Linked DNA regions of Tamandua tetradactyla. The protein of the gene in region 3 purifies or fractionates together with the protein of the main gene of each other region. This does not show direct contact. Links are inferred from orthologs where the notes say so. Each region holds a gene or a part of one and is shown on either strand. Other genes may lie near its edges. The genes, in order: SCAP, AMFR, INSIG1 and ERLIN2.

Region 1 (7,788 bases), on a different chromosome or scaffold from region 3:
ATATGTGATCTTAGTTAAAAGGAAAAAATTCAGGTCATATATGTTACTAAAGTAAAAATATTTTAAAAACATAGGACTGCGCAACACAGTGAACCGTACTGTAAACAATGGACTATAGTTACTAGAATTGTAAAAATGTTCTTTCATTAATTATAACAAATGTAACACACTAACACAATGTGTTAATAAAATGGTGGTATATGGAAACTCTGTACATTATGTATTTTACACAAGATATTTCCGTAAATCTACAACTTTTCTAACAGCAACAACAAAAGGACTATCAAGAAAGTGAAAAGACCACATGCAGAATGGAAGAAAATATTTGGAAACCATATATATGATACAGGTTTAATATCCAGAATACAAAAAGAACTTCTACAACTTAACAAAAAAGCAAATAACCCAATTTAAAAATGGGCAAAGGATCTGAATAGACATTTCTCTAAAGAAGACATTCGAATGGCTAATAAGCTCACGAAAAGAAGCTCAATAGAAAAATGCAAATCAAAATCAGGAGGTACCACTTCACACCCACTAGAATGGCATATATATATATATTATATATATATTACATATATGTATGAGTGTGTAAACACTCATAAACAGGATTTAAGTGTTTGCAGATATGTGGAGAAACAAGAACCCTACTACACTGTTGGTAGGAATATTCAATGGTGCAGCAGAGGCTGGTTAGAGGGAGGAAGGGATGGCAGGCCAGCTTGAGGAAGATCAAAGAAGCAGGGATCTAATAAGGTTGCTGAGGATGAAAGAGACCATGATTCAGAGAACTCATGAGTAATGTGCAGCATTCTAAGAGGTGCAACCCAAGCACAAGGCCAAATGCAGCAAACTGCGTTGGACAAGGCTACTCAGAAGATAAAGTTATGGGGAAACATAAAAATAAATGAGATTTTACATTAAAAAAAAAAAACGATAAGGGTGCATGGGTGGTTCAGTGGTAGGATGCGCGCCTTCCATGTAGGAGATCCAGGTTCGATTCCAGGACCAGGCACCCAAAACACAAACAAAAAAAAGAAAGAAAATGTTGTAAAGGAAAAAACAAGTGAGATATAATACTTATGATCCATTACACAAAGAAAAAGGAAGAGAGTGAGAAAGAAGCCTGAGATGATATACACCAAAACATTATCAATGGCTATCACTGGGATTACAGACAATTAAAGCTTTTGTGTTTTTTGTGCTTGCCTATTTTCTTCAACACAGATGACTTCTACTTAAAAATCCCTCAATAAACCTAGAAATATGGAATTACAGGGGGAAAAGGAAATAGCACCATAGAAGAGAATGCAATCTCACTTTTAAGACATCACCTAAAAATAGGAAGAAAATAAGCCAAAAGTAAGAACCAGGTATGTAGTTGGCAGAACTACACTACAAAACTGACTGATGCTGATGGGATTCAGCATGAAATCTGATGTAAGCACTGACATGGTGCTCTGGTTTCAGGTGCATTTACATGGCTCTGAAAGCCCCAGGCCAGCAGTAGCAGCAACACCTGTGAACTTGTTTGAAATTGAAATTCCCAGGCTATCCCAGTATTAGTGACTGTGGGGTGGGGTTAAAACAGGCCCTTCAGGTGACTGTAATTTACATTAAAGTTTGACAACCACTGGTATTGAGGAATGATGTCTCCTCTAGGTAAATGATAGCTTCTCTAGTTAGACAAATATATTTCTTGCTCAAAACCCATTCCGTTATTTTAGTTCAACTTTCTAAACAAACACCAATCTATTCAAATATGAACTGATAAGACAGAAGACAACAATAATTTTTTTAATTAAGTAGAATCCTGAAACTCATCACTGTAATATAAAGTACCAACAACTGCAGTAGAATGAACTGGAAAGGTATAAAGCACTTAAATGTAAACATACATTTAAAAAGATACAGGTCTTTAATTGGCTATCACCCAGGAACACTTAAAATGTATATACCACTAGAAACCCTTGATCAGACTTCCTTACAAAAGCGTCAATATATGGCACCACATCCTACGAAGGCAGAACACCCTTAAGGACGCTACATAACCAGACTCCACAAAACGTTTGCTCAAATAAAAAAAGACACCCGCAAAACTAACATCATTAAAGAAAACATCTTCTTCCATGTCCTCACAAGAATTATTAATAAATCCCCCCAAAAGACTTAAATCAACTCATCTCTGATTGTCACCGTAGACGATGGGATTGTAAGTAACCCGGACTAAGGGAGACTCCTGTCAAAGCCCTCATAGGGCCTCACTGCTCCCTTGACCCAACATGTTCATCTGCACAACTTTCCGCAATAAGGTCGGGATCCAGGACTCCCTGCACCTAACGTTATCTTGATATTACACTCCTGTGTAACCCGGACTAAGGGAGACTCCTGTAAAAGCCCTCATAGGGCCTCACTGCTCCCTTGACCCAACATGTTCATCTGTACAACTTTCCGCCAAGTACAGAAATTAACAGTTATAAAATTAGTAAGCAAACTTTAAGTTCAAGCAAAACACAGGGAACTGCAAAAGCAAAACCCGTCAGAAAAGCTACGTGTTGCCTCAATCAGATTTTCCAAGACAGGAGACTGGACAGCATTGCTCTCCTCCTCATTCTGGAAGACCCAGAAAGCGCCAAAGCAAGCTGCCCAGGAGACTATGGGGCCCCCTCTCCCGGCAGTGGTCCACTACCCGAGCAGGGTGGGGTAACGTGGGGTGAGGTGGGGGCGCGGAACTTGGCCGGAGTGGGGGTAGGGACTAGCGGCCCGGCCCCTCTCGGAGCTGCAGTCCCTCCCGCCCAGCCCGCAAAGCTGCTGGGCAGCGCCCCCGCCCCAGTCCCTCCCTGAGGGCCACCAACTCCAACACTGGGGTCCGCGCAGCGTGAAGCCCGAATCGGGGCCCACATGCGGGCGCCGTGTGGACGCGTGCGGCTATACCTGTGGCAGCAGCGGCTCCTGGGCAGCGGCGGCGGGGGCGGGGCGCAGCGTGCGCGCTCCCGGACCGCAGCCCGATGCGTGGCGCCCGCCCTCTCTTACTGGGCCGACCGGCGCCCGCGCAGCTCCCCGCCCCTTCACCTCTCACCTCCTACCTTTCCCCTGAGCCGCCCTGAGCACGTGCTCCCGGAGGCTTGCGCATGCGTGGTATGACTTTGCCCCGCCCACACGCGGCTCCCGTTCGCCCCCTGGAGGGCTTCAGCCACAAAACCCCAAAGGAAATAGAAGAGGAAGTCCTGGGCCCGGTGGAAAGGAAACCACCAGGCTTGCACGAGAGTTTTTGAAAACACGTTCTGGAGAATTATCAAAACGTGCCCAAGATGTCCATGCACCCTTTTATATAGAAGTAAAAAGTGAGAAGCAGCATCACAGGAGAGTTTTATCAAACATTCCAAAAAGAATTAGCACTATTCCTCCTCAACTCTTCCAAAAAATTGGAGAAGGAGGCACTCCCTAATTCATTCCATGAGGCCAAAATCACCCTCATAATAAAGCCAGAAAAAAAATTACAGACCAATTCCCTCTGACGCAAAAATCCTCAACAAAATATTAGCAAACCAATTTCAACAGCACATTAAAATAATTATAAACCATTAAAAAAAGTAGAAAAGTGCAAATGGGTGCAATAAATTATATCCAAAAAAAACGAGATTACACAGATTTTAAAAGGATAAGTTTTAAAATACTTAGTGAAGTTAAAAGAGCTTTTTGCAAGTTTCCAAACAAACTGCAGAGTATGATTCATTTTTATTAAGAACACACGCAAGGAGAAGAGTCTAGGGTGATAACACACTGATGTGTCGTCAGTAGCAATCTCTAAGTGGGTGTTTGTGGTTTGCTGATGGGTATTTAACCATTTTCTGCATGGGACACATTTGGACACATCAATAACTCTGTTCATTGTGATTAGGTCCTGAGCTGAGGACTTTGCACATGTCCTTTCATTTAAACCCCCTTCTCACAGAAGAGAAAGAGTAAGCTTTGCCAGGAAGCTAGGATGGGAGTACAGGTCTCCTGCCCTGAACAGAGCTGGCCCAGGACAGGCAGTCCTTTGTTCATTGTCTGGGGAGTAAGGTGTGGGGGGCTTTGCTCATACCATCCTGTTCCCTGCTGGAGCTCTAAGTGCCTGAGCCACCCACCTACGTACACTCACCCTGGGACAGCAAAGATTAAGCAGAGATTATGTTGCTGTCCTCAAGGGCACCAGCACTGGAGTTGTATAAAGTGCTGATACAGTGCATATATAGCTACAATGCAAGGCAGAAACCACAAACTGCCCTTTGGCCACCCCTTTGCTCTTGCCCTACTTATGCCTTCTGTGAATAATTATTCCCACACCTTCAACCCCATTCCTACCAGACTCTGGACTGCCTCTCCAAGGTCACCAAAGCCCAGCCCTGCTCCCTGCCCTCCACACTGTTGTCACAGTGGTACTAAAGAATAGTAGGGACAACTGGCCTTGGCCAAAATGACATTTAGGATTATTCCTTGTATTTTCGGTTGGCTTTTGGCTTAAGATGGAGATTTTAATTTCAATAAAGGAAGAATTATTTTCATTTGTTTATTTCTAAATTAGAGGGAGGTAGCAATAAAGAGTACTGTGGGAAAACCTTACCTATACCCCCTACTCATTCTCACATCACCCTCTCCGTATCTGATTTCTTGAAATCCCATCATCTGTCCCCTCAGAAACCTTGGGCATGAAGGATCTACGTAACCAGTTCCTTTTTCTCTCTCCACTGCCTCTTTTCTCTTGGCAAATATAAAAACTTATCCAATTTTCTTTAGTTTTCTGATTAAACCTACTATGACCCTGCATGACCCATTCTCAACCCCTTTCTTTTACTGCCAAGTTCCTAAAAAGAACATAGTTGCACACTTGCCTCACAAGAATCACCTGGAGAATATTTAAAATTGAATCAGAGTCCCCCAGAGCCCTAACCCAGGCCCACTGGACCTAAGTCTTCTCTTCAGAGATGGCTAGGAGACCGTCTATAAAAACCTTCATGAGGGGGATATAGACAGACAGACTGATTTTTTGAGAACTGCTATCACTCCTTGTGCCAATTTGAATTTGTGGTATACCCCAGAAAAGCCATGTCCTTTAATCCTCATTCAGTATTGCTGGGTGGGATCTTTCTGATTGTTTCCATGGACATGTGTCTCCACCCATTCAAGGTGGGGTTGCTTTCTGGAGCCCTTTAAAAGGGAACCATTTTGGAAAAAGCTCTAGAACCCATGCAGCCAGAGACCTTTGGAAATGAAGAAGGAAAACGGCCCTGGGGAAGCTTCATGAAACAAGAAGCTAGAGAGAAAGCTAGCTGATGTCTTTATGTTCACCATGTGTCTTTCCAGTTGAGAAAGAAACCCTGAATGTCATCGGCCTTCTTGAACCAAGGCATCCTTCCCTGGCTGCCTTAGATTGGACATTTCTATGGCCTTGCCTTATTTTGGACATTTTCATGGCTTAGAACATGTAAACTTGTAACTTATTAAATACCCCTTTTTAAAGTCATTCCGTTTCTAGCATATTTCATTCTAGCAGCTAGCACTAGAACATTCCCCTTATTTACCACTCCCTCTCCTCTGACCACACCAATGAATCGGTTTGCAGGGGGACTGACCCTCAGTGAGGTCTGGATACATATGAAAACAAGAGCCTCCAAAACTGACAAGCACTTGGCTAAGTACCTCTGAGCCTTGAAGCATGGTGACGAATACTCCACTGCACCAGGAGCACCAACAAGGGCCTTTTGGAGCCTCTGGGGAAATAAAGGCTCAGTGGGCCTTGGTGAATCTACTGCAGAATGAAGTGGCCATGATGTTAGAGCTTCTCTTCCCAACATTATATTATGAAAACACAAAGAAAAGTTGAAAGAATCATACAGGTAACACCTATATATCCTAATTCTACAACTGTTAATGGTTTACTTTTCTTGTGTCTATCTACGAATCTATCCCTTTATCTATCCACCAATCCATCTTATTTTTTAATGCGTTTCCAGGTATGTTGCCAATAATTGATTTTACATTTTACTTTTATTTCATGTGGAATAGCAACTTCTAGCCCTGACTAACCAAAAGTCAAATCTTACTTCAGATTACTTCTCAGGGAGATGGTATATTCAGCAATTTTTAAAAATAACTACTGAGAGATTAGAGATCAAGAAGTGATGATGATTCCCACAACTTGAACATCTACCCTGGGCCAACCTTCAAACTGATTTCAGTTAATCCTCATAACAATCTTAGAAAAGAAGGGTTGAGTCTATTTTACAAATGAGGAAATCTTTCTCTAGGGAGGGAAAGAGATGTGCCCAAGGTAGCTCTAACTCTGGGACCCAATACTAGAGCCTCCTGCCCAGCTGTCTCTGCCTGCCACAGTTTCAGAGAAAGCTGCTTCATAATGATACTTGTCTTTGCAATACTTGCACTGAGGGTCATTTTCACCATTAAGCATTAGCTATAGCAGTTGGCAGTATAATAAGTTGGGATGCTTCAGGGCCAAGCTCCTTGTAATGGAAACTGATCCTCACATTCAGCAGCAACTCTGTGGCCTGAAGAAGCAACATAACCTCATGGAGCCTCGGTTTTCTTTGATTCCAAGATGCAACTAAGAATAACATCATCTATGGTTTAAAAAAAATTAAATGGGAGTGTGATTACATGCAAAATGCCTAGAACCCAATAAATAGTGGCCATTCTAATATAAAAAATACAGTCTCAAAAAATATTAAATATCAAAGTTGCAATGATAGTCAATGATATGCATTTATTATTTATCAAGTTCTTACCATGTTTCAGAGACCCAGGCTACAATAAGTAAATTCCCTGGACTAGAGAAGTTTACTATCTTAATATAAAACTTTATAGGCAATATGATAAGAGTAATTACAGAGGTCATAAAAATAACCAATAATTGGCTGTCAGTTCCTTGCCAGGACAGATATTACAACATATTATCTCATAGTCTTCAAAAAGGCCTTATGAGGCAGATAAGATAAACTCCATTTTACAGATGTAAAAACTGAACCATCCAGAGCTATAACAACTTACTGAGGTGACACAGCTGCTAAATGGCAGAAGCAGTATGAAATGTGGTCTCCCCAGCCCCAAAGTTTGCCACTGACCTTCTAAGTGCTATGGGATACAGGGAGTCTACTGGCAAGAAAACAAAGAGCAGGAATCATGAAAATGTCATTTGAGTAGGGCCTACAAGGTCAATATGTGTTTGTCAGGCGAAAAAGAAATACAAGGCAACCAAACCAGAAAGGAAGTAGTAAACTTCCATTTTTTGCTGATGACATGCTCCCATACTTCGGAAATCCTGAGAAATCTATCGCAAAACTACTTGGGCTAATAAATTAATTCAACAAAATGACAGGATACAAGATTAATGTGCAAAAATCAGTAATGTTTCTATACACAAGTAATGACTTAACTGAGGAGACAATAAGGGAAAAAATTCCATTCAAAATAGCAACTAAAAGAATCAAGTATTTAGGAATACATTTAACCAGGAATGTAAAGGACCTGCACACAGAAAGCTACAAACATTGCCAAAAGAAATCAAAGAAGATCTAAACAGGTGGAAAGACATTCCATGCTCATGGATAGGAAGGTTAAATGTTGTTAAGATGTCAATTCTACCCAAACTGATCTACAGATTCAATGCAATACCAATACAAATTCTAACAATCTACTTTGAAGACTTGGAAAAGCTAGTTATCAAATTTATTTGGAAGGGAAAGTGACCATGAATACCCAAAGATATCCTTAAAAAGAAGAATGAAGTGG
Region 2 (7,065 bases), on a different chromosome or scaffold from region 3:
ACACTCTGAGAAATAAGTCTTCAGGGGGATTGCTCAATTCTTTTTCCTCACAGTAGACCACTTTTCCCACCCCTAGGTCTCCTCTTCACCTTTTCAGCCTCCCTCTTCAATCAGAAAAGCCAATAGATTTTTAATTCAATAGTTTACTGACTGCTCTGCATATGCACTGCACACCAAACTGAACTTCACGTGCAGTTTTCTTTGCCTGGAATGCCTTTTCTACTTGTTGAGATCCTTCCTGTTGTCTAAGGCTAGGTCCAAATGCGTGTGCCATGAGTTCTCCCCCAGGCAGAATCTAATGTCTTTCCTCCAAACTGTACCATATTTTGTTTATTACTTAAAATGTTTCAACTATACCCCCTAGAGTGCACAAATTAGTACCTCTGAAAGGTTTTGAATTGAATTTGTTTCTAAAACCTGTTGAGACACTCTACAACCTATATTATCCCAAATTGAGCTCTTCAAAGATACATTTAGAGATTCCAACATGTTAAATAATAGTTGGTAGGACTTGCAAAATGGCAAAAGGATCAGTTTTTGTTTTATGTTGCTGGGTCTTAGAAGGCAGGGTTTTTTGAAAAAAGTTGAACCAAAATGCCTTTAGGAAGGCGGCTAAGAGGATACTGTTTTTGTCAAAGACCCCACCACTTATTCATTCATTAATGTTATCAGGCTACAGATTTTGAGCTTATGATCCCTACTTGGCTGCTAAAGCAGAAACTAAAAACTTACAAATGTACACATCCATGCTAGCTCTAAAAAACCAAGGAAAGTGAAGATGTACATAAAAAAAAGAGAAATGAGGGAATGAAAACAATAAAATGATCAACTGAGAAAATGAAAACACCACCAATAAATAGGAAGAAATTATAATTGCATGACGTAAAACCTCTCAAAAAAAACTGCAAAGGGAAATCTTCTTAAAAATAACAATTTTCACAGAAAAATCAACAGGCTTCATATAAAGTTTTATGAAGTGGTATTAACGTTGAGATTTGAACATGGGTTTTGCAAGAAGAAACTTCCAAGGGAAAATATTATTAATTCTAACAGGTGTTATATAAATACAATAGTGATTCCTTTTCAGATGCTTATTTGAACTTCTGACTTAAAGTTTTAGTCAGACTTCATTATAATCTTTTGGCTAAATTACTCTTCATATCACTCTAAGTTTTTTACTTGCTAATTCAAATGGAAAAAAATTACTGGAAATTAAACAAAAGATGTGAGTTGGGTTCTTTCTCTTCTGCCTTCTTTGGTACTGTAAACTTCAGCTTTACACAGCAGAAGCGGATTGGGCTTCATCTTTCACTGCCTTCTACTAAACTCTACATCAGACGGATGAAGTGTATTCCACAGCCCACAGAGTTCTCAAATCCCACCGCTCACTGATGAAGCACAGTGGGATTAATTATAACAAATGAGTTGTATATCATTTTATAAATTTGGAATTATTAATCTCTCAGTCATTTACAGCCTACTCTCAATTCCAGATGGGAACTTGCAGGAGAAGAAGCTAAGATACAAAATGCAGCAGTAAATGCCCAAGTGACAGATTTATCTCCTGCAGCAACTTCTTTGATCGCTGCAGGATTTATGTAACAAACATTCAAGACCCAAAGAAAGCAAAACTATTTATCTAAAATACTCTTGATCTGCCCGGCCTGAAACTACCTGTTTTAATAAAGGAAACCAACATTTATGACTTGTAAATGTTGTTTATCTTGCACTGGAGGACAAACTGGGAAGCTTATTGTGAAATAGATCACTAGAAGGAGAAATCTCGAGTTAAAATTAGTTGACTCCTGAATTGAATGTTTTGCTGCCTTCAGACATCAAAGAAAACCGACATAACTCATCAGGTAAAAGCAGCAGGAAAGCACAGTTTTGTTTTTTAATTAAACATACCACCCAAAGAGGACGATCAAATACCAACCAATGGCAAAAAAGTTGTGGGAGAAGGCCTCTCTTCCAACAGGAATGCCCAAACACAGGCAAATGTCCATCCCTGCCCTCTCCTCTGCATTAAAAACCCGCTAACAACTTTTCCAAGCTTTATAGCCAGAGAAGCATTTCAACTTCCCTTCACTTAATAAAGCATGCAGGTTCGCTGACTCTGTGCTCCCAAACTCCCTTAAAAACCTGCTCTTTGAGGTTTCCGATTTCCTTCCAGATGGTTCCTCAAAAATCTCGACTCCGCAGGCCACCTTTTGCTCCCCCAACCCCTTCCCGGGCACCTTAACCTTTTCCACCCCCACCCGCCCCTCCCTAGGGGCCTGGCCACATTCCCTCACCCCCCACTCCCACCCACCGCTCTCCGCACCCCTCGCGCCTCGTGGACCTGCTTCCTCAAGCCCTCACCTCGGGCCGTATCTTCTTTCCACCCCAGAGCCCACCCCCGACACCGCAACCCTCTCCTTCCGCGGACGCTCTCGCAGGCGCCTCCCGCACGGCCTCTGCCCTCGGAGGTCTGGGGGGAAGGAGGCCCCTTATCCCAGCCACGCCCCCCACGAATAATGGGTGACATGGCGGCTCACTCCCCCACCCACCCTCACCGCCCCACTCCTCTGTAGGGCCTGGGGCAGCCTCGCTCACCCACACGAACAGGCTGTCTGAGAGCAAATACTGGGCCACGTCGCGGGCCCGGGGACCCCCAGCGCTCGGCCGGGCCGGTGCGGGCAGCTTTGACTGCAGCTGGTCCGTTAGCTGGGCCGACTCGGCCGACCCGGGCCCGGCCTCGGGCTGGCTGAGGGCGCGGTAGGCGCTGACGATGGTGCCGAGCAGAGCCAGGCCGCTGAGGCCCGTGTAGGTGCGGAGGCTTGGCCAGGGAAAGCGCTCGAGGAAGAGCAGAGGCATGGCGGCAGCGGCAGCCTCACGACCCCAGGCCTCCCCGCGTTGCAGCCGAGTCCCCGCGGGAGGCTCGAGAACAGCGCCCCGGGGTTCTGGCGTCGCTGTTGCCGCCGCCGCCGCCACCCCGGGCCGGGCCGGGCAGCTCCTGGCCGCTCCGCCCCGCACCGCTCCCGCTGCTGCCCCTGCCGGCGCGGAAGAGCCTCGGCGGGCCCCGGACGGGCTGTCGCCCCCAGTGGAGCGCTGGCGGGACGGGAGAGAGGGCGCGGCCTTCGTCCCCCGCCCCCAGCCGTCGCCCCGCCGCCTCGCGGGCGAAGGACTAGGTCGCAAGCCCTGCGGCTCAGCACCAAGCTTCATCCTTCGCCTACACCCCGGCTCGGCTTGGGCCGCGGCAGCGGAGAGAGCACGCTCCGGGCCAATCCGAGACTTGACACAGGCCTCTCGGAGCTGACGGGCGGCCTGGCCCTTGGCCCAGGCCCAGTGGCCGGCCCGCCAGACGCTGGGGAGCCCCCCGGACACTTGCCCCTTTGTTTCCTCCATCCTCTAAAGCAGGGTGTCCCCCAGGACCCTTGGTATTTATGGAATAATAGAGGCCCTGACCACGAAAGCAAGAATATTATGGAAGTTTCTCTCCAATAAAGTTACCTCAAGTGTTTCTGCTGTTTACTAATAACCGCTAGCAGAATCTGAAACGAACCTAATTTGGTACGAAATAAAATGTGTTCCTCATACAGTGCTGGGAAGAATGTAAAATGGTGCTACCACTTTGGAAGTCTGGCAGTTCCTCAAATAGTTAAACATAGAGTTACCACTTAAACCAGCAGTTCCACACTTTTTGAAGTTTATACCCAAGAGAAATGAAAACATATGTTCGCTTGTACACAGATATTCATATCAGCATTGTTTATAATAGCAAAAGATGGAAATTACCCAAATGTCTATCAACTGATGGATAAACAAAATGCAGTGTATCTATGCAGTGGATTATTATTCCACCTTAAAAAGGAGTGAAGTTTTGATACATGCCTCATGGATTGAAAATATGCTAAGTGAAAGAATGCGACACAAAATACCATATATGGGCAGGCCATGGTGGCTCAGCAGGCAGGGTTTTCACCTGCCATGCTGGAGGCCCTGTTTCTTCTCCCAGTGCCTAGTCATGTGAAAAAAAAAAAAAAAGACCATATATTGTTTAATTAATTAAATGAAACGTCTAGAATAGGCAGATCTATAGAGACAGAAAGTAGAGTAGTGGTTGCTTAGGGCTTTGGGGGGAGGGGTGGGGGAGAAAGTGACAGCTCAAGGGCACAGGTGGCTTTTTGGGGTGATGAAAATGTCCTAATATTGTAGTACTATTTGCACAACTCTATGAATATACTAAAAACCACTGAGTTGTACGCTTTAAATTGGATGAATTGTATGGTATGTGAGCTATATTTCAGTAAAGGCGTTGTAAAAAAAGTCACCTAAAGAAAAATGTGTTATTTAGGGTCTTATTCTACATATCCCCAAGACCTATAAATAGTGCCTGAGTATAGTAGATGCTCAGTAAATATTTGTTCAACCTTACAAACCTTCAAAACAAAAGGACTAAATTATCTTTAAGGTCTTTCTCAAGTCTAATAGTCTATTAATTAGAAAATAAGAAAAGATCTCTTGAGGTTGTTACCATCCACTGTGGAATTTAAGAAGCATCCAGTTAAAGGGGGCCTTCCATAGAACAACAGTTTGGCTTTACTGGGGGTCAACTACACACACAATGCTTTCTTATATGAAGTCTATATGCTTATTAGACTTCAGTTCCCTTTGATTCTATAGCCAAGGTAATTTGATTAAAATGCTAAACTTTCAACTTTATTGATAAAATGATGGAAAGCTTTCTTTTGGAAAAATGAGGATAGTTAACTTTCTAAGGAGGTGTTACATTACAAGATTTGAGCCCCAAACATTTTTTTAAAAGGCTTACTGACATAATTCACAAACCGTACAACTCATCCATTTAGACTGAACAAAATGGTTTGTAGTCTATCCATTCACACTGTTCTAACAACCATCACTGGTCAATTTTAGGAAATTTTCATTACCCCTAAAAGAAACCTAGTGTTAGCTCTCACCCCTTACCCACCTACCCTACCCCACCCCACCCCCCACCCAAATATCCCCAATAATTCTTAAACCACAGTTTGGGGTTGGTTTTACAATGGTGATTTATTAACTTACAATTTACACTTCTTAGGCTGTGAAAATGTCCAACTCAAGGAATCAACTGGACAATACCTGGACTCTGAAGACAGGCTGCTGGCCTCTAGGCCTCCTTTGCCACTATGACAAGGCATATGGAGACAGCTGCTGGTCCTTCTCTCCAGGGTTTCATTGCTTCAGTGGCTTCCACTCAGCTGCTCTGAATTTCATCTCCTAGCTTCTGTATGTTTTATCCTCTTATAAAGGCCTCCAGTAGGATTAAGACCTAGCTTGAATAAGGTGGGCCACATCTCAACTGAAATAACCTAATCAAAAGGTCCCACCTACAATAGACGTACATTCACAGGAGTGGATCAAAAGAACATGGCCTTCACTGCCCTTTCCCTCTCTACATGGGACATGATTCCCAGGGGTGTAAACCTTCCTGGCAACGTGGGACAGAAATCCTAGCATGAGCTGAGACTCAGCATCAAGGGATTGAGAAAACCTTCACAACCAAAAGGGGTGAGAGAGTAACGAGTCAAAATAAAGTGTCAATGGCTGACAAATTCCAAACCGAGTTGAGAGGTTATCCTGGAGGTTATTCTTACGCATTAAATAGATACCATCTTTTTAGTTAAGGCATAACAGAGAGTTTGGAGGGAAGTGCCTGAAAATTTAGAGCTGTGTTCCAGTAGCCATGTTTCTTGAAGATTATTGTATAATGATACAGCTTTTGCAATGTGACTGTGTGATTGTGAAAACCTTGTCTGATGCTCCTTTTATCTACCTGATGAACAGATGAGTAAAACATATGGATTAAAAATAAATAAATAATAGGGGGAACAAATGTCAAAATAAATTTAGTAGATTGAAATGCTAGTGATCAATGAATGGGAGGAGTAAGGGGTATGGTATGTATGAATTTTTTTGTTTTTATTTCCTTTTCTGAATTGATGCAAATGTTCTAAGAAATGATCATGATGAAGAATATACAACTATGTGATAAAAAAAAGAATGCTCATATTGTATGTTGATTGGTTTTATTAATAAAAATAAAAAATTAAATTTAAAAAAAGAACATGGCCTTTTCTGGGGTACATAACAGCTTCTAACTACCACACACTAATTGGTGATCCATATTCCATCCAAACACAGGCAATCACAAAACACTAAGCATTAAACTTGAAAAAGAAACAAATTCTGGCACCATCATAAGGGGCTACTGTCAGTAGATTGACCTTAAAATATAATATTCCAATATTTTGAATTTCAAAGTGCTTGTCTTTGAACTATACTGAGATATCCACTACTTCCTAAGTGTTAAAAAAAAAAAAAGCTTTAGTCAACTTATTCTCTGGAATGATTTTGTAAAGAGCTTAATATCAATTTTTTACTTTTGTCTAAGACTACATAAAAATTACAGTCTAATTTCATTTAGAAGCTTGAACTTTCTGAAAAACCTATGAAACAGGTAAAATTAACCAAACTATGTAAGGCTATTTTTACTTGCATTTTGAAAGAATTTAAAAGTTTTTCTCAGGATTTTACTAGGATAATTATTTGTTCTACCAACATTTTCACTGTCCCACTCCAAGAACATAACCAAGTTTTACACATCCCTATCTCAAAGATATCTTGAAAGGCTGGAAACCACTCAACCAATGCTCAATGCTTCTGGGTCTTTCTAAGTGTATCCCACACCATGAGAGGAACAGGGGAGAAAGCAGAACACAAGAATGGACCACACCCAAAGGACTACCTGTGTCAGCTGAGTCCCAGTCCCGAGCCCCAAGTGCAGCAAGGTTTCCAGTGGCTGATCCGGCCTGGGTGAGTGGAGAAGAGTTTGTGATGGAAGAACCTCTAGCATCTTCCCACTCCACCTTCATTTCAGAGTACCATTCAAGCCCCTAGATTGTTTGAGTAAGTCCCTCCACTCTCAATAATGACTAATAGACTGAATTCTCTGCCATCTTTGTGGGATGGGGACTCTAATTTGGTTTGATGTAAAGAAAAAGAAATGAGTCATTTCAGACA
Region 3 (7,433 bases):
GGGAGACTGTATAGACAGAGTTATGAACAGTGGCTCTTAAGTGACCGTTAAGCTCAAACGCAGTGGCTCTGCCACTTACTAGCTGGGTACCCTTGGACAGTATTACTTCACCTCTCTGTAATTCAGCGTCCACATTTGTAAAATGGAGCTAAGTACAGGATTGTTGTAAGGATCAAAAAAAGTAAAGCACATAAAGCATAAAGTAAGCAATCAATAAACACTAGCTACAAGGAAAATATTAGGGTGCTCCTCATATTGTATTGTAGTTACGTATATACATGTTTCTTTGGTTTCCCCACTGGACTATGGGACTCTTAAGGACAGGGGCTTGTCATACTTTTATATTACAAGTATATAAAATGTAATATTTCATATTACACCTGGCAAATACTTATATAAATGAGTGCTATGTGACACTAAGGAAGTACTAAGTGATCTGCTGGGCTAAGATTAATTCAGTGTTGTTATAAAACTGGCTAAGTGACAACCAAGAAATTCTACTCAAAAAAAGACAGTCCACGTGCACACAATTGGGCTTACTCTCTTCCTGACATACTTAATCTATAGAGCTAACAGTTCTAGGGAGCAAAAAAGGCTTGGCTATTGGCCGCAGTTCATTTGGATGTCCTGGCAAAAGAAGTGCTGAGAAGTTGCTCCCTTGGCAACCACCTCTCGAACACATGTGACGGATTTGTTTTTAGTTATCCAGCAGTGTAGCATGTTCACTCAGGCAACCAGTAGGAACTCAGCACTGCTGCTCACCAGTTCTAAAGGCAGCCAATCACAGGGCAGCTAGCTCTTGATGACAGCTGCAGTGCTATACTCAAGACTGTCCTTAGTCTGCCCAGAGTAAGAGGAAGAGAGCTTGGTTTGGCAAAGGCATTTGCTTCAACAGCCAATTATCTCCCTACCTCATCTCCATCACTGGACTTCCTCAAACTTGGAGACAGCTGTTGCTTAGATTAGCATTTGGAGGTTTGATAATACTCTCTACCCCTCTTTTCTTTACCTAAATTAAAAAAAAACACTGGTGACAAACAGTGTTAATTTGTGAGTGGCTCCATTTTCAAATAAATGTTCCTTACTGACAATAAATAAATAAATATTTATATATACTTTTTAAAATAAAATAAGAACAGTTACTTACCAGCTGCTGTCCCACAACAGGGAGGAACCCACCAGGCTGAGGAGAAGATGGTGGCAATAACTTCTTCGGGGAAAAGGGTGACATTTCTCTGTATCTGCAGTAGGTTGAGCACAAGGGCTAGGACAACTCCAACTAAAAAAAGCACAAGGCTTCTTTGCACCAAGTGATGATGCCAACTGTTAGCGTGGCTGCTGCCGCTACTGTGGCCACTGGTTCCAGTGCTCCGGCCCCTCTGAGAGGGGTCTGTGGTCACACCACTGTGGTCCACCAGCAAAGAGGGGCTGGAAACAGACGAACTGATCATTTCTCCCACTTTTGCTGCCAGCCCTCCAGCACTGGCTTTCAGGTATTTTGGGTGCCTCCCACCGTGAGCACAGGAACAACTCCAGAAGTGACCGTCTAATCTGGGCATCTGTTACCACCAAAGGTCGAGATGAGTTTCCTGGAAGTGAAAAAAAAAGGGGGGGGGGGAGGAAATAAAGAGGCAAAGAAAGTTAAAGAAGCCTGTAACTTCCAGCCCTGTGGCCCAAGTCAGATGCTGAAAGCTACACTAATATTCATCCCCAGCATATACAGTAAGAACAAAAAAGTTCCTCAAGGGAGTTAGTAGCGGCTATAGTAGCAGACATCAGCCACCTTGCATAACCGAGCCACTGCACTTACATAAATTACCTCATGTCTGTTCTTTTGTCACAAAATTAACATATAAAAAAACTACCCATACATTCTATCTGGGTGATGCATAAGTTGTTTGAAGGTATGCAGAAGCAATATGTAAGATAAATATAACCATAACTCTACAAAATAAAGCAGACACTTTAAAACTACCCGCCTACCAAGGATCCCTACTCTGTATGTCCTGAAAAGCTTGCCCATTCGGTCCAAGAGTTTTCAAGGCACAATGTACATCTGCCACGAAACTTTTAAAACTAGCATAAGGAAAACATCCCAATCTTCAACCAGCGTTTCGCAGAAAACGTTAACAGGATCAAACCTGCTGGTTTTGAACTGAAAAAAGCGACGTAAGAAACAGCAGCACTGGTTAACCACATTTGGACGCCGGCAACGACTTACTATTTTAACCAAACAATTTCGTGCATGGGTTGCACCTCCCACCAGAAGAGTGCTGGGAATCCCGCTTATCCGGGAAGTAGAGGGGGGCGTCCAGCCCATCAACCCAAAGAACTCAGGCCAAGGCACCTGAGCAGTCAGGCCTCCAGGTCTACATTTCAGATTCCGTTGGGAAAGTTCATCTATTCGAGCTCCCGGGGAAGGAGAGAGAGGCTCCAGCACCCGGGAAGCTGGGGCCTCAGGAGTGGGTTCTACGTCCTGAGCAGCCCCCTCTGGCTTCCCCGCCGGCCTCCGGTCCCGGCTCGCGCCCCCCACCCCGGCATCTCCCTACCTGCCTGAGGGCGCCCGCCCGCGGGCTCACCGAGGCGAAGGAGGCGGGGTTACCGAGGAGGAGCCGCCGCCGGTGGAGACTAGCCCTTAAGTTTCCCCCGCAGCATCCAGCAGGCAGTAAAACCTTTATATCACAGGCCGTGAAGCTCCCAAATCACGTTACCACGGCCCAGCCTACCCGAAGTCACCCGCCGCCCCGCCCCCACACGCCGCCCCGGCCGGGGGCGGGGCCTCGGTCTCCCGCCCGCTCCCGCCCTCCAGGTAAACATTCGGTCTGGTGAGGCCTCGGCCGCCAATGGGAGGCGGGCGGCCCATATGACGTGGCCGACACACCACCCGCCTCCCTCCCGACAGTTACGAACCGTAGGGGCGGGAGCCGGGTCGGGCTGCCTCTCAGCTCCGCGGAGTTGGACCTGGGGCCGAGGGAGGGGCGGCGCCGCCGGGGGAACGCGAGGCTGGGGTGGCGGACGCCAGCGGAGGAGGAGAAGGGAGCCGAGTGAAGCGAGAACGGGACGTTGGGGGCCGGGCCCGCCGCTCCGACGCCGGCCCCTCGGCCCCGCCCCGCGCGCGTCCAGCACGGGGCTGTGGCGGAGGCGGCCGCGCGGGCAGGTCGCAGCCAACGTGGCCCGGGGCAGGCGTCACGCGCCTCTCGCCCCACCCGCGTGGCGGCCTCACCTTCGAGGCGCCCGCGCGGTTGGACCACGGCGCTCCGGCCGGGCCGGTAGCACTTCGACCCCCACCGGGCTCAGAGGAGCCGTGAGAGGGGGCTCCACGCAAATTTTGACGCTTGGGGCCAAAGTAAAACCTGAATGGCTGTAGAGGAGACTCTTGATCATTGGGAAAGGGGCTTAATGGCTAAGGAAGCGGATTTATGTTATACAACCCGTACGTGTCGCTCCCAAACCTCGCGTTAAGCGATTTGGGGTCATTGCAGCCTCAAATGTGGGCCGATTGATAGAGATTTACCTTCTTTCCTGGCCCCCTTCACTTTGATCATCAACGGAGAAAACAGTTTTTGCCTTAAGTGTGTGAATCTGGCATATCTTGTTTTTTAACAAGGAGTCCTGCAGACACCCCACATTACAGCTCCAACCTTTATTTCATGTAGGGATGTCCCTTTGTAGTCCTTAGGCTCTTGATAGTTACCATAACTATTAATTTTAAATGAGCTAATGCATGCAGTGATCAGAATGGTCCCTAATATGTAGTAAGGGCTTGCTAAATATTAGATATTAATTTTTGTGTGTGTGTATGTATGTGTTGTTAAAGGTACTTTTATACTTATCTCCCACCAGACAGAAAATCCTTTATGAGAACAAATAAATGACAAATATTCCATTCACACAAGGATTATTTTCTAATCTTCACATTTGCAAAGCAAACCCTCAAAGCCACTAAGGAGAAAAGAAAATGTTAAACAGAAAACATTTGAAAAAGTAGACTTTTATCTTGTTGACATGTGTAATGTATTTATATCCTGTTTATCACATGTGTCACGCCATCTAAAAATAAGCTCAGTAGGCCGGCATCATGCCAATTGAAAACCTGCAACATGTTGAACGAGATCTATAGTATTTAAAATGTTCTTCAACAATAGTAGAGAAAGATGTGGTCTTTTGTACTAGCTGCAGATGAGCAGAGGTTGCAGAGGAAGTTTGTGCTGTAAATAGCAACGCTTCATGGCTATGAGAAGATCCTATACTTAGAAAACTTGAGTCACGCCTACCATATGGCAACATGAAATAACCGTTTGTCTGGCATTCTCCAGGTTAAGATTCGTGGCTCTAAGCCAGAAGGTTAAACAACAGAAAGTGAAACATCTTCATGCGGTATCAATATTTCTCAAAAGTTTTTATGTTTATTTGTAAGGGTGGGATGAGAGAGATTCATACGAATTTTTAATGACAAAACGGGACTTCAGGGAAAAGTAGTGTTTACAGCAGCTGTGCTCACACTCCTTGACTGTAAGGGATGTTTCATTAGGAAAATTTGAGAAGCCACGTGTGAACACATTTGCCATTCATTAATTTTTTTCTATCACTCCAGAGTCATTACCAAATTTCTCTTTTCTTACTCCTCTTCGTGGCTGAGACATAGCTTAGTTGTGGTGGGTCTTAAACCCCTTCTGATGCCAATCTGGTGTGAACTTCACCTAATCTTTTCTACTTTTCTGTGAGCACTAAGTGTAGTCACTATGGATTGTAACTGAAAGTTGCTCTCAAACCCTTTTGGTCAATCAAGAAGACATAGCATTTGCTAATAAGGTGACTTGCTTTCGTTCCTTGAACTTGAACCAGATGTGTGTGAGTGACCGTTTGGAAATGGAGGGGTTAGATGGAGCTCTTTCCCTTTCCCTTCGGAATGGGTTGGGCAGAATCAAGGCTTTCAGATTCTCTCCCTATCCTCTTCAGGGCCTGTTCACCGTTTTATATGTTGTTGCCAAAGAGTCAAAGGAGTTTTGACTTCAAGAAATGTTGTAGTTCGAGTCTTGGATCATTATATCCATTCCACCTTGCCTAAGTGGGCAAAGTCGTATGTATACAATCATAGTAGCATTGGAGCTTGGTATGTATTAACAAAAATAAAACTAAAAAGCAGCCAAATTGTCAGCTGATAGGGAACTGGTTAAATAAATGATGGCACCTCAATAGAATGGAATGTTATGTAATTGAGAATCATTTCTTTTTTAACTGCCAGGAAACTATATTCTACTGTCATTAGTGTCAAGCCCGTAAGCATTTTGAGAATCACTGATGTAAAACTGTCAACCTCATGGAGCTGCATCTGCATTATAGTCTTGACCCTGAGATGTAGATATGTGGTGGATTCAGTTATGAAACACCAGCAAATACAGGAATCTTTGCTTTATTGGGACCGTTTTCATAAACTGGTTTATTCAGGTATGTGAGACCCAAAAAAACAGGTGAAAACTCTTTGCATACATATTGAGCTGCTTGCTGTCTACATGGATTCCTTTCATAACAGAAACCAGTGTATCTGTCTTCTAGGATTTAAGCTGTATTTGGTTTTCTTTGTTTATATCTTTCTCCTGCCGTTCTGCTTGACCATGTAAATTGCCCCAACATTGCTTTCAATTGTAATACCTCTTAGTTTCAAGGTATTACCATGTAAAGCTATTTTATAGATTCCTGAGTTGCTTGGTTCATATTTGGGAAGGGGCTATCAATTCCCTTAGGTACTTGGTATGCTAAAGTCTCTGTTAGTTTCCTAGGGCTGCTGCCACAAATGACTACGAATTTGTTGGCTTAAAGCAATATAAATTTATTCTCTCACAGTTCTGAAGGCAAGAAGTCTGAATCAAGAGGTGCGTAGGGTTGGTTTCTTCTGGAGGCTCTGAGGGAGGATCTGTTCCATGCCTTCCACCTAGCTTCTAGTGGTTGGCTTTCCTTGACTTATAGATGCATTACTCCAAGCTCTGTCTTCTCATGATGTCCTCCTCTTTGTGTGCATCTCTGTCTTTATATGACCTAATTCAGTATGACCTCGTCTTAACTAATTACATCTGTAAAGACCCTATTTCATGTTTTCAGGTTTGAGGTGGACATGAATTTTGGAAAGATTCTATTCAACCTGGTGCATGGTCTATTTACTCTGTCATCTTTTTCTTTCTATCTGCCCAAGTCAATATTAAGACGAACCAGCCTCTCTGACCATCCTCTCCTTTCATCTGTGCTGGGACAATTTCAACCATGGGGACTGTAGCCAGGGAGGCCCTGTGAAGCTGAGGCTGCTCCACGTATGTGGAACAAAGCATACTGTGGGAGTGTGGAAGGGCCACCTGTGGGCTGTCTTTTCTTGGGTCCTTGATGAATGTTGTCAGCTCAGCCTCTTTTAATCTAAGGTACAGTTTATCACTGCATTCCCATTGTGTGTGGTTGGCCTGAATGCCTATATAATCTGACTCCATGAATCAAGTCAGTCTAGGATATTGACAGTTGAGTAGTTGGAATTTATCCTCTTGGGGACTTCAACTTCAATATCAGAAACCATATTCAAATATTTTGAGTGTTTGACACTCAATACTTGGAATGATAGCATCTATCTTGAACAGGATGGTGAAATAGGACACAATGCCTCGGTAGCTATTCTAGACACAGAAGAATCATGGGAAATCTGAGTGTTTTGAGACATCGTCTAGTGAGCTATTTACCCTTAGTTGTATTCCTACTATTCTTTTATTTTAACATTAGTCATCATACAACCATAATATTTTAAGAAATAGGGTAGGTGACTAAATATGTGTATTTTTTTTTAGCCTTTAAAAATTTTTTTTTGCATTGGTAGGCACTGGGAATCTAACCCAGGTCTCTGACATGGCAAGTGAGAATTCTGCCACTGAGCCACTGTTGCACTGCCCATGTGTATTTATTTTTCTTTCTTTCTTTTCTTTTATCTTTTTACATGGACAGGCACTGGGAAGCAAACCTGGGTCTGTGGCATGATAGGCAAGAATTCTGCCACTGAGCCACTGTCGCACCGCCCTATATTTATTTTTAATAAAACAATATAACCTGCTTGCTGTAAAATATCTAAACAGATGGAAAAATACTTTTAAAAAGTACCTATAATCCCACTACTTAGGATAGCCACAGTTAACATTTTGGTGTGTATGTTTCCAGATACTTTTTCTATGTACATGTATGTATGTTTTTAAAAACATAAATAGGATCGTATTTCCTTTTCTTACCTAAGAGATCCTGAACATTTTTCAGAGTCAATAAGTATAGACTACACCGTCATTTAATAGCAGAATTGTATTCCTGAATATTGAGGAGTGTCTTAGCTTACTTGCTAAGACTTTTTTGGTATGTGTAATCACACAGTGTTCTAGTTTGCTAGCTGCCAGAATGCAATATACCAGAAA
Region 4 (7,347 bases), on a different chromosome or scaffold from region 3:
CAAATCAAGTATACCTGCACAGACTTATATGACGTGATGAAAGGAAGCATAAGATGGAAACCAGGGCCACTGGTGGAAGTCAGCAGAGCACCTCCTCTGCAGGGAAGAGAGAAACTGGCTGTTTAGCAAGAAGGCTCTATTAGATACCATTTGGACCAACTTTCTCTTCAGCTCCATAAACACTGAACATAAAGTGGCATGTGCCAGAACCATGTTCACAGATTCCTTTCTTTCTCTCAGCTTTACCCTAATATCTTGGTATAACAACAACCTGATGATAAAACATAAAATCATCATTTATGCTTTTGCAAGGACAAAAACAGGCCCAAGAGCGAAGGGGAATAAAAACAGAAGAATTTCTGATTATACCTAGGATAAGAAACGGTCTGTTTTACTTTGTCAGACCCACTGAGCTTGTGGCATTTTATTAGGGCACTCAAATCTGATAGTACAGTTATCAACTAACTAACTGCACTAATGTTAAGAGTCCAGTGACCTGGATGACCAAAAGAATAATTTTAACTACACTTTATAAGTCATAATATGTATTTTTTATTTTTTTTAGGTGCATGGTTCAGGAATTGAACCCAGGTCTCCCACATGGAAAGTTAGCATTCTACCACCGAATGACCATAATATGTACTTTTTGACAAGAGAGTTACTGTTCTAATGAAGTTGTATGTAAATAAATTAAAAAATTCAAAGCCTTTTTGTTTTTGTACATGTAAGCAAATGGTGGGGAGAAATGATTTAAGGGGAGAGGAGAAAACCAATCAGAATTTTGGTACTTGTAATTGGAATCCAGTATAAGCAACATAAGGCACATACAAGGAGTTTGTAAAAACTTAAAAGCAAACAAACAAACAAACAAAAAAACGTGGCTATGGAGGTTAGTAGAAGGTAAGCAACTCAAGATTTATAAGTGCTTTTTTGCTTTACATCATTAAGTCCAAGACAATTTTTTTTTAAGAAGAGTATTAAAGTAAATAGGGACATAATGGGTCCCATAATCCTAAGAGCTACCACCCTGGCACTTGCCTTGATTGATATAAATCAACCTGCGGGTTTTTTCCTTTCTCCCGAAATGCTAATTTTCAAGAATAGTCCCAAAGGAATCATTCTTTAAATTAGCAGGGTAGGCTATCTTCTCAATTTGCCAGTGAGAATTGGGATTCAACTGTCTTTTTGTGGCACTCAAACACCCACAATGATGCTGGAAAAAGCATCATTTTAGGGATGGTCTACAAGGAGCATTGGTCTACTTTAGGTTTTGTTTCTAAATCCACATATTTATCAATTGCCATCCTTGGCATCATCTTAGAACACTCTAAGGAGGCTTTTACATATGTGTGTGTGTATAATATATAATATACATAAAATATATGTAAATAAAATATTCTCCCCTCATGGTCACTTATACAAAAGGTCGATCCAAAAGACAAAATATTAAAAAAAAACATAAACACAGGTAGGTACTCAGCAGAATCTGATAGACAGCGACTAGCAAAGGGGAATACTTCACAGGACGTTGCAAACTCCTCCTTGCCTCTGCCTTACCTGTAATACACCCCAATATGTCCCTCTTCTATCTTGTGCACAGCAGAGAAGAGAGATGCACAAAAGAAACTGGCAGCCACGGCCACAACTGCACCCAACTGAGCCATCAGTGAACCTTTCTCCTAGGGAAAAGACATGGGAAAAAGTGTGTGTGGCCCGTGGTAGATAAACTATGACAGTAAGAGTATCTCATGGAGGTAAGCTCCCTGAAAGTGGCTCATTTCCAGCCTGTTACAGTAGGAGCACAAGGCTCTCTTCATCCTTGTCAACTCAACATTCACATTCCTTGGCCATGGAATTATATTTCCATCTCCTTGAAGAGACAGTGACTGGGTCCAGGAAAGAACCAGTGCCAACTGGGCAGCGTTCTGAACACAGCCTTCTCTTCCTGTGAACATGAATGTGCTGTCACTGGGGCCACGCATACTAGTAAGAAGGAAGAGAGGCAGCTGCAGTAGGTTGAACCAAATTACAGAGGATGTCATGACAGGCAGTTGCGACTATGTAATTCTGTTCAGGGCTTCCTAATCCTAATTGTCTCCCATTTCAAAGGAAACCCTTATTTACTCCTTTCAGATCCTGGAGTGACAGAGACAGGGAGTGAGCGGAGTTTCAAGGTAGGATTCTGTGGCCTTTCATCCACCTTCCAGTTATTCCCGGGGCCCTTAAGGGGACATAGGGTCCTGAACAAGACCGCAGTCATACTCCCTCCCATACATTTGACAGGTATTATGCACCTGACAGTTCCTCCAACCCCTCGTGGGACGAGGAGAGTTGTCCAGGATGGGAGACTCTGGGCTTCTGGGTCCAAATGCGTTCAGGGACCAGGACGCCAAAAAGCTGGCCAGAGGCTGGTTTCCTGAACCCTGAAAGCGCTGGAAAAACCGTGCTGACCGACTGTCAAGTTCACAGTAAAGCGTGTCTGGAACACTCAGTCATAGCGTGGAGTTTGCCTCCCGGGTCTACCATAAGGCGGGCGCAGGGAGCGTCGAGGCGCTCATTGCAGCGTGGCAGCCCCCAGCCGCTGCTGAGCAACCTTTCTGCAGAGACCCTTCCCTCGGGGGGTCCTCCCCGTCCCACCTCGCCCCCTCCCCTCCCTCCTCGGAGAGAGAGGCTAGCGTGTCCCCAGCACCCAGGGTTGCAGCCGGGGCTCCCAGAGCGTCCGCTCGGCCCCGCCTGAAAGACGGTGGGTGGGGGACAGGGCGGAAAGGGGCTGATATCCCGCTGCAGGAACGGGCCGGCTGAGGGAAAAGTGGCCGAGGCGGGGACCCCCAGAGACCGCCGAGCAGCTCCGGCCTCTGGAGAAGCAACACAGACCCGGTGCGCGCACTGAGGAGGGGCGGGGGCGGCGTACCGGGCTGTCCCTCCAGGCGCTCCGTACTCCTCCGAACCCCCGAGCAACCGCAGAAACCGCCACACCCCTTAGCACGCCACTTCCTTCCGGGCCCGTCGCTCCAGTGATGACCTCATCAGCCCACGCGAGGACGCTGCCTTTGCGGCCCGCGCTTCCTGGCTGGTCCGCCACGCCCCCCGGAGTGGGAGCGGCGGGTGTCCGCAGGCGGCCACGAGGGGGCGCCCGTCAGCCGACCCGGCCCCGGGGCTCGGGCTGGGGTTTGGGCGAGTGGGGGAGTCCCCGGAGGGACGCGCGAGAGCACGGGTGTGGGTCGAGTCTGTGTAGCGTGGGGAGGTCGAGACCGAGAGGGTCGCTTTCTGAGGTTCTGTCTTTGAACACTGCTCCAGGATTGCTCCTCTGTTAGGCCGAGTCCCCTTTGGGGCCCTATATTTTTTTCTGCAACAGTGCATTGAAACTCCTCTAGCTCTCTGCCCGGCCCCTGTCCATTTGCCCAGCTGCACGGGACGGTCTTATAAATAAGCAGATTAAGTACCGTGTGTTGCCAATAAGCTATCTCTACTTTGAATTATTGCCCATTATGCTTTTCTAGGAGCTTTGGCCTTTAAGGTCCCCACAGTACCATAAAGTACATTAAGAAGGAGATATTCTCTCCATTTTAAGGAAGTGTATCTAAGAGGTTCAGTGATGTGTGGGACATAATGGTGAAAGGCTTTGTGCTTCTTTAACGTCTTGAGCTCAACTGTCTCTATAAGGCCTCGGACCTCGTCTCCCTGAGCAGACTGTAAGCTCCCTGAGAGTTGAGGCTGCGTCGTGTCTGAGCTTCTGTGCCTCATAAATGCTGGCTGGAAGGCAGGGTGGACCCAGGACCAGAACACAGACCTCGCCTCTCCTGGTCCAAAGGCCTGCCATCGCCCTCAGCCTTCACTCTTCAGAAACCTCCTATCACGGAACTTCTAATTCAATTACTGAAATAGTTTTGTTTGTAGAAGAGGAAGTTCAGACTTAATTACGGTCTTCAGTAAATGAAAAGCTTTTTACAGTAAGCTAATGTTTGAGGCAAATGTAGGAGGCAGGAAAAATGAATTGTGGATTTTTCAGGCGTTGTGGCTGCTTGGGGTTGACCCACTTGTCCCTTCCTCATTTTGCTGTGTCTGAGTTTGTATTGAGATGTTTGAATAATACGTGGTTAGGTCCACAAGCGGGGTGGATAGTCCTGTCTGGGGTCGTCTTCTTGTATCAGGGCCTTCTTTTCGACTCTCTCCTCTCCCCATCCTGCGACCCGACATCTCCACTCACATCATACACACATCCCAGTCCATTGCTTGACTCTCCCTCTCAGAACTCGAGCTTTTTCTCTAGCTGCTCAGAGATATAATGCATCCCTGCATGCTTAACAACTGTTTAGTAGGTGAGTCAATGAGTAAGAAGAATAGAAACACTGGAGTTTATCAACCGAAGGAAAGGGGCTTAGCCAGCAGCATTAAGGGATTTAAATTAGTTTTAAGAATTTTCTGACTTTTAAACTTTGGAATGGACTATGAGAGGAAGTTCTGGGATTTTGTTCTCAGGAGGCTTTCAGTAGAACTGAGTTGTTTAGTTGTGGCCCTGCCTTAAGGTAGGGGATGAATTTTGCAAGATGAGCTAACATTTTTGAAAATCCCTTTCTTATGAGACTTGTGACTTTTATGATTCACTGTCCAAAGCGTCCATGCAGATGTGCTGTGGTAAAGAAGTGGTTAGGTGTGGGGACTGACTGCACAGCCGGACTGCCTGGGTTTAAATCCTGGCTCCCACCTCTTTTTTAAATTTTTATTTATTTATTTTATTAATTTTTAAATTTAAAAAAAGTAACAAACACAAACATTCTTAACTTATGATTATTCCATTCCATTTATTAATTTTCAAATTAATAAAATTTTTCAAATTTTATTTGAAAATAAATATTTGAATAAATGATTATTTAAAAAATAATCAAGCTATACACTTAAGATCTGTGCATCTTAATTAAAGCATAATACGCATAACATTAAGATGCACAGATCTTAAGTGTATAGCTTGATTATTTTTAAAATTAAAAAAATATATAACAACAAACAAACAAAAACATTCTTAACAAATGATCATTCCGTGCTACATATATAATCAGTAATTCTCAATATCATCACATAGTTGCATATTCATCATCATGATCATTTCTTAGAACATTTCCATCAATTCAGAAAAAGAAATAAAAAGACAACAGAAAAAAATTCATACATACCATACCCCTTACCCCTCCCTTTCATTGATCACTAGCATTTCAATCTACTAAATTTATTTTAACATTTGTTTCCCCTATTATTTATTTTTATTCCGTATGTTTTACTCATCTGTTGATAAGGTAGATAAAAGGAGCATCAGACACAAGGTTTTCACAATCACACAGTCACACTGTGAAAACTATATCATTATACAATCATCTTCAAGAAACATGGCTACTGGAACACAGCTCTACATTTTCAGGCAGTTCCCTTCAGCCTCTCCATTACATCTTGACTACAAGGTGCTATCTACTTAATGCATAAGAATAACCTCCAGGATAACCTCTCAACTCTGGAATCTCTCAGCCATTGACACTTTATTTTGTCTCATTTCACTCTTCCCCCTTTTGGTCGAGAAGGTTTTCTGAATCCCTTGATGCTGAGTCTCAGCTCATTCTAGGGATTTTCTCAATCCCTTGATGCTGAGTCTCAGCTCATTCTAGGATTTCTGTCCCACATGGCCAGAAAGGTCCATACCCCTGGGAGTCATGTCCCACATAGACAGGGGGAGGGCAATGAGTTTGCTTGTCGTGTTGGCTGGAGAGAGAGGCCACATCTGAGTAACAAAAGAGGTTCTCTTGGGGGTGACTCTTAGGCCTAATTTTAAGTAGGCTTAGCCTATCCTTTGTGGGATTCAGTTTCATAAGAACGAACTCCAAGATTGGGGGCTCTGGCTTTCACCTCTTATTAGCTGTGTGACTTGGAGAAAAGAACTCTATGTGCTTCAGTTTCTTCACTTGTAAAATGACGGTTTTAATAGCGTCAACCTTGCAACCTGTTGCAAGGATTAAATGGCAAATTAAGAAAAGCACGTACAATAATATTTGGCACGTTGTAAGTGTTCAATATGTGCTAGCTTTTGCTTTTTTAAATAGACTTTTGCTAGTTTAAATATTCTTTTAATATGTTCTTGCATGTTTGTGGGTACAGATTATTAATGTGACAGAGGGTGAGAGGGTGAGAGAAGGATAAACTTAAAGTTATGTGGTATTGGGCAAATGGCGAATGAAGCCTTATCAGAAGGAGAGATAAGGGACTCTGAATTATACTTCAATAGATATTTACAATGCAAATTTCATAAAATATTATTGAGTGCTTTCTATGTACCAGATCCTATGCCTTTCTCATTTTATATTATCTTCATTTCAGCCCTTTGAATTCAACTCCATTTTGGAGGAGGAAGTTAGGGCTTAGAGAAGTTAAGGAGTTGCCCAAGATTGCAAAACTGGGAAGTGGCAAAGGCAGAATTCAAATGATCCCAAGCCTATTTCTTTTCAGTAGTAAGCAGATTGGAAAATGATACAGCTTAAAACACACAAGCAAACATTTATTTTTTACAATACGACTTTTCAGGAATGTAGACCAGTGGTCAGAAATTGCAAAACTTTAAATTGGGCAAGTTCATTTTGCAGTTGTAGGTTGAAACCGGGTAAAAAGTACCTCTCTCCAGCAATCCACATCACCGTATCTCTGGATTGCTGTTTGTTTGGTTCTCTTATCTAGCTAATTGTTAGTGAAAGTGCCACTCCAAAAAGAAGAAATCCCTTCTTTTCACAGACAGAGCCCTTTTTATTGACAACCAGGTTAACTCTGAAGGAGTCAAGTGACTTTTAAAATGTTTGGCTTCAGTTCTTTATATCACAAGAGTGGAAGTTGCTGGAACAAAGTTTCTATTTACTTGATTTTGATTTTTCCTGCTTTTCTACTTTAGGCCTTAAAAGGATAGAGGTCATCTTTCAGGACATTTGATTCTGGTAAGATTTTGGTGAACTGGGAGAAGAGGAGTGAAGAACTCTACAAGTATTAAGAGAGTTCCTTAGAACTTTCTTCTTTTACTTTGTTATAAAAATGAGGGTTGATACCATAGAAGAACAAAAGGATATATGCTTTAGCCGAACGGTGCTTTTCTTCAGGTGCTACTTCAGGGAGGTCGGATGAAGGATCAAAGAGGAATCAAAAAATACCAAGTTGAAGTCAGTTGGAAGCCACCTAAAGATTATTTTGTGATTTGATTTTTATAACTTTATTGAGATATAATTGACATACCATAAACTTCATATGAAGTATACAATCTGATGTTCTGATGTAAAGTATACACCTGTGAAACTATCACCACAATCAAGTTAATGAGCACAG

Evidence for each region.
Region 1: the proteins of INSIG1 (region 3) and SCAP purify together in Homo sapiens (affinity purification with western blotting; 11 studies listed by BioGRID and IntAct, with this or other methods). This does not show direct contact. The link is inferred for Tamandua tetradactyla from reciprocal best matches to the Homo sapiens genes INSIG1 and SCAP.
Region 2: the proteins of INSIG1 (region 3) and AMFR purify together in Homo sapiens (affinity purification with western blotting; 6 studies listed by BioGRID and IntAct, with this or other methods). This does not show direct contact. The link is inferred for Tamandua tetradactyla from reciprocal best matches to the Homo sapiens genes INSIG1 and AMFR.
Region 4: the proteins of INSIG1 (region 3) and ERLIN2 purify together in Homo sapiens (affinity purification with western blotting; 4 studies listed by BioGRID and IntAct, with this or other methods). This does not show direct contact. The link is inferred for Tamandua tetradactyla from reciprocal best matches to the Homo sapiens genes INSIG1 and ERLIN2.

Annotation. Positions count from the first base shown.
Region 1 is NC_135341.1:39,146,857-39,154,644, reverse strand, and holds the start of SCAP (sterol regulatory element-binding protein cleavage-activating protein), read right to left. Parts: upstream 3,012-7,788; 5' UTR 2,935-3,011; intron 1-2,934. UniProt on the Homo sapiens protein: Escort protein required for cholesterol as well as lipid homeostasis.
Region 2 is NC_135342.1:50,117,860-50,124,924, forward strand, and holds the start of AMFR (E3 ubiquitin-protein ligase AMFR), read right to left. Parts: upstream 3,012-7,065; 5' UTR 2,857-3,011; coding exon 2,596-2,856; intron 2,381-2,595; exon of another isoform or gene 2,362-2,380; intron 1-2,361. UniProt on the Homo sapiens protein: E3 ubiquitin-protein ligase that mediates the polyubiquitination of lysine and cysteine residues on target proteins, such as CD3D, CYP3A4, CFTR, INSIG1, SOAT2/ACAT2 and APOB for proteasomal degradation.
Region 3 is NC_135327.1:200,660,590-200,668,022, reverse strand, and holds the start of INSIG1 (insulin-induced gene 1 protein), read right to left. Parts: upstream 3,020-7,433; 5' UTR 2,911-3,019; intron 2,737-2,910; exon of another isoform or gene 2,550-2,736; intron 1,590-2,549; 5' UTR 1,560-1,589; coding exon 1,148-1,559; intron 1-1,147. UniProt on the Homo sapiens protein: Oxysterol-binding protein that mediates feedback control of cholesterol synthesis by controlling both endoplasmic reticulum to Golgi transport of SCAP and degradation of HMGCR.
Region 4 is NC_135352.1:5,638,576-5,645,922, forward strand, and holds the start of ERLIN2 (erlin-2), read right to left. Parts: upstream 3,010-7,347; 5' UTR 2,912-3,009; intron 2,903-2,911; exon of another isoform or gene 2,295-2,902; intron 1,680-2,294; 5' UTR 1,665-1,679; coding exon 1,558-1,664; intron 97-1,557; coding exon 15-96; intron 1-14. UniProt on the Homo sapiens protein: Component of the ERLIN1/ERLIN2 complex which mediates the endoplasmic reticulum-associated degradation (ERAD) of inositol 1,4,5-trisphosphate receptors (IP3Rs) such as ITPR1.